Lytechinus pictus: one gene and its partner. The protein of the gene in region 2 interacts with the protein of the main gene of each other region in a biochemical or structural test. Links are inferred from orthologs where the notes say so. Each region holds a gene or a part of one and is shown on either strand. Other genes may lie near its edges. The genes, in order: nuclear migration protein nudC-like and lissencephaly-1 homolog.

Region 1 (3,931 bases), on a different chromosome or scaffold from region 2:
CCTCCCCGTTTAATGGTTTTCAAACATGTAAAATCTCACCCTAAATAATTCACAACCTAAAATACTTGCATCTGAGCCTCCAAAGTCCAGTAGAAGTTGAATATTTGCCGTTTTTACACTTTTTTTTTACAAAGTTTTACACCTATTTCGGAATCACTCGGTCGCTTGAAGCTCAGCGCTGCACATAAGCAGTCGGTACGCGTACAGTACGTACCACCTAGTGAAGTGCAAGAAGAGTGAGTTTTTCTATGGTATCTTCAAAAAGATTTTTTTCCCCTCTTTCAGCTTGCATCAAGTATTACGGTAGTGGTTGTGCAGAGTGGTTGATGTTTGTTGTATGAAGGTGTGTGTGGGGTGTGCGTGTGTGTGCTTGTTTGAATGAAATAAGAAATGTGAAAAATGTGAATACACGTAGATTTAGCGATGAAATAAGAAATAATAATGTAGAGCCTTGTTTTGATGGTACGGCGTGTGAAAAATTGAAAAATGTAATCTACTAGCATGAAATCAACATAGCATACAATCAACATAGCATACAATTGTAAACTGAAGGAAAGTTCTCTGACCTAGAGTTCAAAACAAGGCTCTACATTATTATTTCTTATTTCATCGCTAAATCTATGTGTATTAATTTCTCGCTCTTCTTGCACTTCACTAGATGGTACGTACTGTACGCGTACCGACTGCTTATGTGCAGCGCTGAGCTTGATGAAGCGACCGAGTGATTCCGAAATAGGTGTAAAACTTTGTAAAAAAGTGTCAAAACGGCAAATATTCAACTTCTACTGGACTTTGGAGGCTCAGATGCAAGTATTTTAGGTTGTGAATTATTTAGGGTGAGATTGTACATGTTTGAAAACCATTAAACGGGGAGGTGCGAAACTACACTAGCGCCGAGACTGTCTCCAATGTGGGAGATTATCTCCAATATCAGAGACTTTTGTAAAGAATTTGGGTATCCAATTTCAGAGAGTCTCCAGTTTTGGAGACCAATTTCCTTTGTTTACATTTGCTGCAAAAGGATTACCTTGGCGGCAAATAAAAATGTGATAAGGAGATTCCTCATAAAAAATTACCCCTTTTCACCGTCTACTTTAAAAATTCACCGTCTACTTTTGTTTTGATAAGGATTTTTGTTGTCAATCACACACAAAACAAATGGGCTTCTGACCTCAGTGAGACAAAATTTTGGGTGGGAAAAATCATGCTTTTGTTGGTGTTGTTTCTTTTGTCCTTTTGCAAAGCAAGTCTCCAATGTGGGAGATTGTCTCCCCTATTGGTAAGAGTCTCCCATATTGGCCGTGCGCCTCTACTGACAGTATGATGGGGTGTCCAAACTTCGCGCACTTTTCAAAAATATTCATCAGGCTTAATTTTGTTCACAAAATATTCATAATTTATACAAAACCAATTCAAGAAATAGTTACCACATTGACGGCAAGATCGTAATCTATAAAATCATGGACGAAAATGTAAAGTAGGTCAAGGGGTTTCGCCGGTATCGCGATCTCAAAATTCTATTCCGATCGGTGAATGCGGGCTGTGCTGGAAACCGTTCAGAAAAAATGTGACTTAACTTCGCGCACCAAAGTTTTTGTGGAGATTCAAACAAAAACTCAAGCTCAAAAAGTGAAATATTTTTATATCAGATTGATGGCAAAATGCTATGGAATTGGTTAGTACCACATTCAACTCACATTTTTGATGATTTCTGCTTGCAAAATGGTGATATCGTGATGCTTGTTGATTTCTTCAAAACGGGCGCAAGCGGTGGCAAATTTGCCGATCTTTTGCCAATATTTTCATGAATACTGAACTCATCCTAAAGAAATTTTTATTAAAGGGTAATTTTAGGTCGCTTTTCACGTTGACGATGTCAGATTTTAAGGATATTGGCTAGTTTTTGAGATAATGACCGTCCGCGAAGTATGGACACGCGCGAAGTTTGGACTCACTGCCATAAATGGTTTCAATCGAATAAGAAACACGATAGCGGTTGTGTGGGACCGAGATAAACTAAAAGAAGCGAAGAAACGCAAAAATGAACGCGTGGGACCGGACCAAGATGAACTGATACTTGCGGACTTGCATAGCAAATTAAATGCAGTATAATCACACAAATCAAAACTTATCATGAATGAAATTATGCCAGTTACGTACCTGATGAATTCCTTGTTCTTGTTGCTGGGCCATTGCCATCAGCATACCGTCAAATCTATCGTCATCCTCAGCCATTTTTCCACATGTGGTTCACCAAAATGAATGAATAAATTTCGGTACTGGTAGTCTTCGTTTTCTAGCATATATATGGGTAATATATGCAATATATGCAGGGCGGAGTCAGAAAATTCTAGAAACATGAGCAAACTACTGGGCCTTGATGGTGGTGGTGGTGGTGGTGGAGGGGGAGGAGGGGGCCGGGCTGACATGGGTGGGTGGCTAGGGGCTTTAATGTTTCAAATATGAATTGTCTTGATTTCCAATGACTTTTTGAATGATTTAGACTCTATTTTTTTTTTTAATTGTTAAAATCTATTCATTTATTTATTTATCTATCTATCTATCTGTCTATCTATTTGTTTATTTATCCATCTATTTCTGAAGGAAGGAGAAGGGTTAGATGCCGGGGTTAGATGGGGGTAAGGAAGTAAATAGATCGATCGAGAGCTATATAGAGCGGAAGGAAGAAGGCACATGCACACACCGAAGTATGCCATGGGAAGTATGATCCTCACTCGCGCCCTTTTTTATGGGGGGCCGGGGGGGGGGGGGTAGTTCATACCCCATGTTTCAAGGAAAATGTGTGAGTTGCTGAATGACGGCCTCTATTCATTTCTATTCTTCTGATAGGTCCATGATTATACTAATGATGGTGATGATCATTGAATGATGATGACGACAATATGATGATGATGATGGTGATGATGGTGATCATGATGATCATGATGATGACGACGACGACGACCGCGATGATGATCATATGGTGAGGATGATTATTCTATTCTATTCAATTACAATTTTTTTTAGTCTACGATATATCCTTTCCTCCAGTAACATAATATTGCAAACATTGACATTAAAGCTAAATGAACGTAGTTGCAGTAGTAAAACACTAATTTCGTGAGAAAGTCTGTAAAACCAAAGTTAAGTATGACTATATCATCGTGGATCTAGATCTGGTACAGTTACATAAACTGAACTTTGTGAAATCATGAAATCTAAGCTGAAATACGATCACACTGAAGATCGCCAACACAGATAGGCACATGTGGGACAGTGTATTATTATTGCTGGAATAAAGACCCGACGGAAGTGACCGAATCCGCGCTTATTTTGCTTATTTCTCAGCAATTACACAATTTCTCCCAGAATCCTTTGGCACATATTTTTTATTCATATACAAACAGACACTTGGGTGGTCATTATATTAGATTCTGTAAAAAGTCATTTTGAGATCGTTATTACCAGAACTGGAATTTACCTTTAAATTAAACATTATAGAAAATTGAACTTGTAGACAAGACAAATAAGAGGGGATAATTATACATGAATAAAGAAGAAGGGAGGATGATTCCGATGAACGGTATATCCATAAGAAAGAAAAAAAAACATTCATCCAAACATTTCGGCCTTGTTATAACTAGATATTAATTTACATTATTTATGTCAACTACATTGTTCAAATGTGTTGTTCTCTAAACTATCAATATATAGGCCCTATAGCCTATCGTATATTCGATCATATTCTTTGACTGAGTTGGGAACTCACTGAATCATTAACCGAAGCTATATTCGTTTTGAACAACGTTCGATTTTTTTTAATCGCGCGATCCGGCGCGCGATGCAACAGGTGAAGCTCAAACTTTGGTCTCACAGGATAATTCAACACAAAAAGCTTCAATTTTCACACATATTTACAGAAAATACAGAG
Region 2 (3,931 bases):
TTGCCTTTTGAAACGGAAAGTGGCTTTTCAAATTGAAAATCACAGAAAACATATCTTTACTCAAAATGCATAGAACAGCAACAGAAATTACTCCAAAATCTCAACAAAATACAAATACTAACTGGCCACAAAACACGATCTCACTTCGCTACAATCATGACAATCCACACATCGTGACTGCACTTGACTCCATCACTTGATCATACATCAAAAATACATTGTACAAGCGGGTCAAACGCAAGCCCAAGCTGAAATAAGCGACCAAACATTGTTTGATTATAACCAACGTACGTAGTAGGCAGCAACACACGTTCGTGTTGCTACCCTCTAGTTCGGTGATGTAACAGCACGAACGTGGTACTCCTCAAATACAAAATGGCAGATAGGCAATAGTCGTCGACTGCTCAAAACGATGTCCAAAAATCCCCACATTATCAATAAAATTTCATTCAACCCTTAAATAATGCTAATAATGTGAAAGGTTAGGATGTATTCATATTAAATGTGTTTCTTAAAATTGTTTTGTGTTTGTATAGATCAGATTAGAGTGGATTCCAAAGCGTTGTTAGTGGCGGATACAAATTCTGACCAGCCCGAGTACTGTGACATTGCTACTCCAACGGAATTTCCATTTTTCAAACATGCTGAAACGGATTTTAAGATTTTCTGAAAAGGAAAAGGCAATTTTTTTACACAGAAATCACTTTCCCTAGATGCTACTTATTATTTATAATCACGTATTAAATTTTAGTATTTGTGAAATAATAATTTTTATCTATAAATTGTTCTTCAAGACGGCATCGCTAGTCGGAAGTACGTCATCACGAAGCGGTTCAAGGGTCAAGTCTATTGTCTTTGCTTTGTTGACAAACGGATCGAGGGATCCACGGGAGATCGGGTCTGGTAAGAAACATCTCATTTTTACCATTTATAGTGAAATAATTTTTATCCCTTTATACGCATTAGGCGCCTGAAGGTTCATAAATAAAATTGGACAATACAAACCGATTTCACCCTCTAACTATGGATTTCCTTGGGAAATCCATCTTTGTGTACATGTGTCTCTTATATGGATGGGGATTCAAGACTCCATGATGAATATGTCAAAATATTTAAAAAAAACATCATCATGGAGTCCTCAAGACTAGACTAGATCTAGCTAGCAGGCCTGGCCCATTTAGTCATTGGACCTTAACCCTTCTGTACTGTAAACGCTCTTATTTTCGCGAATTAATTTTTCACGCTTGGCGGCTTCAAAAAATATTCGCAAGTTCTTGAATTTGCGCTGCACTCTCCATAATCCAAAGTCACTTCCTTCTTCCCCATCTGTAAATGGTTTTAATTAACATTTCAGCGACGAAATTGTATATTCTGATCATAATTCTAGCTCTAAAGCGGCGTAATTCAGCATTGTTTTGATCCAATCATGAGCTTTTGTGACATTTAGCGCAACATTTCTTTGCAGGGTGGACTCGGGGAAGGCAAAACGGAGGCACTGCTGGCCTGGTATGGACGGCCGAGCACCTATAATATAAAGGACCAGGGGGATTACGGCTATTCAAAGTGCATGGGTTCAATCAACAAACCTGGGTGATCGACCCAACGTCTTCTTAAAAACTAAACAGATCTTAACACTCACCAATCTCGCACAGCAAAAGCAATTTATATTTCAACCAAATTCCAAAATCATAATTTAAATACTGATCTGCGACTATTGAAAAAATTATCTCAATGCTTTGGAACAAATTCTCGCAATGGCGTGCATGTCTTTTTATTTGTGATCGATTTTGGAGCTCAAGCTTACTTGCTTAAATGTCGCCCTCTATACAAGATCTAACAAGTTATAGGGCCTAGGTCAAAATCAAATTGTGCAATCTCTTTGCCAAAACGATACACACAATTGAACCGCGGTTCAAAACTTGCATTAAAATAGATTAGATGCTCATAAATTCGTGCTCGCCGATCTTCATCTTGCCGCAAAAATTTCCACTTTTAGTTTTACAGTAGTTGTAAAGAACTGCAGAAGCTACCACTTCCATGACTGCACTGCTACTGGGCCTGGCTTGCAATGTTGCGCTCCCTTCTAACTCTGTCTCTGCACTCACTCACGTCACTCTCACTCAACTCAGCTCATGCACTGCACTGCATGCATTGGCCAGAATATGCACAACAAATGTCAACGCCTACGGAATGGGAATGCACATTTGCCCAGCACTAACGTTACACCTTCTCCTTCACACATATCCTAGCACACAACCAAATTGCGAACTATTTAGATGTAGAATCGAATTCTATAGATTTCCAATGAAAATAGAACGCTCACCGAAAAATAAAGAACTTAACAACCAAACATCAAGTATATAAACCGGTATTCGTCCGTTGGTTCGAAGTATTTTTCTCGCAACGCATATTGTTGCTGTATTTCCGACTCACATATATTTGCTACACGTTGAAAAATTACCCAGAATCCCTTTCGATACTTGTCTGCAATATCATGCGCAGAAAACTTGTGCGCAGTTTCTAAGTCTCTTCGTCGTCTGCAGCAGCAACTACTCGGAAATCAACAGTAATTTGGGCTGTTTCTTATTGCATTTTTATTGATCTATAGAATGATATTGTATTAATACCATTATTTTTCAGTATTACTTAAGCTGTCTCATTATTCAAAGCACTATCAGGTATCGTCTAAACGTGTATATTACCGATAATTTGCGTGTTCTTGTATTTTGAAGTGACCGGTTATTACTGCTAAATTTGAGGACGTTTATTTACCTTGGACATGAATGCCGATTTTTAGCCAGCCACGGGCACGGCGGCGCGGCCGCGGTATTGATAAGATATGCATGTGCACCCGCTATGGCCTTAGACCAAAAGCTTCGGTCTCTGTTATGTTGGTTGTTCAGCTGAACTCCGTTGGCTTCACTAAAAAGCTTCGGTCTCTGTTATGTTGGTTGTTCAGCTGAACTCCGTTGGCTTCACTACCCAGGGGGGCCACTTCCATTCACGAGTGGATACCATGCGCGACCATGGGGTCTCAAAAAGCACCCTAAACACGTAATTTCCATAATCTGAAAATGCACCCCTTAACAAGTATTGGCGTGTGAAACCCTACCCTTAACAAGTATTGGAAACAAAACGAGATCATGGCAAATATTCCCTGAAATGAACCCCTAAACAAGTACAGGAATGTTTTATTGTTACGGGTCCTTCGGTCGTCAGCTTTACCTCATTTGGTTTAGTACGACCCCACCTTCTACACCTCGCGCAAATCGGACTCTAAACACGAAGTGTTGGGGCCAAAAGGACATCCTTTATAAAACATTTTAATTTTGTTTTATCATCCCCGCAAATTCGACCCTAAACACGTAATTGTCCTAGCGAAATAGATACCCTTTTTTCATTATTATTGCGTTTTTGACACCCTTATCACGTTACGTACGTAACGTGCCCTATCGTGAAAAAGACATCCTTTTTACGTGTTTTTTTGGTCGCGCATGGTATCCACTCGTCAATGTAAGTGGCCCCCCCGGGCTTCACTAACCAAATACAGAGACCGAAGTTCTAGCGCGATCTGTACAGGGGACTCAATGGCCATATGTTTATGTACTTAAGATCGGATAAAACGGGGAAGTGAATTTGCGCGACAGCCGAGGTAAGTCACTGTTTTTGTTCCTTTTAACTTGATTTTTCTCAGTTTTTTGGCAATTGATGCCAAGAGGGAATATTAATTTGCATTTTGGTCGCGTGAATTTTCAAAATTTTTACTCATTAAAGACAAAAATTGAAGAGCCCCGACGGGGGGATTTTGCATTGCAAGTCCCCTAATGGTGGCTGCACGCTAGCGAGCCGTCTGTGTATGAGGAGAAAAAAAAAAAAAAAAAAATGTTAAAAAACTCCTCGAAACAGACGGCTGCCAGCTGTCTACTATGGC

What was found.
Region 1: the proteins of lissencephaly-1 homolog (region 2) and nuclear migration protein nudC-like form a complex in vitro, tested with the Homo sapiens proteins (3 studies listed by BioGRID). The link is inferred for Lytechinus pictus from reciprocal best matches to the Homo sapiens genes PAFAH1B1 and NUDC.

What each region holds. Positions count from the first base shown.
Region 1 is NC_087248.1:5,421,672-5,425,602, forward strand, and holds the start of nuclear migration protein nudC-like, read right to left. Parts: upstream 2,727-3,931; 5' UTR 2,236-2,726; coding exon 2,161-2,235; intron 1-2,160. UniProt on the Homo sapiens protein: Plays a role in neurogenesis and neuronal migration. Necessary for correct formation of mitotic spindles and chromosome separation during mitosis. Necessary for cytokinesis and cell proliferation.
Region 2 is NC_087246.1:17,019,795-17,023,725, forward strand, and holds the start of lissencephaly-1 homolog, read right to left. Parts: upstream 2,469-3,931; 5' UTR 2,324-2,468; exon of another isoform or gene 1,821-2,323; intron 1-1,820. Other genes in the region: RNA N6-adenosine-methyltransferase mettl16-like, read left to right, coding at 2,610-2,617. UniProt on the Homo sapiens protein: Regulatory subunit (beta subunit) of the cytosolic type I platelet-activating factor (PAF) acetylhydrolase (PAF-AH (I)), an enzyme that catalyzes the hydrolyze of the acetyl group at the sn-2 position of PAF and its analogs and participates in PAF inactivation.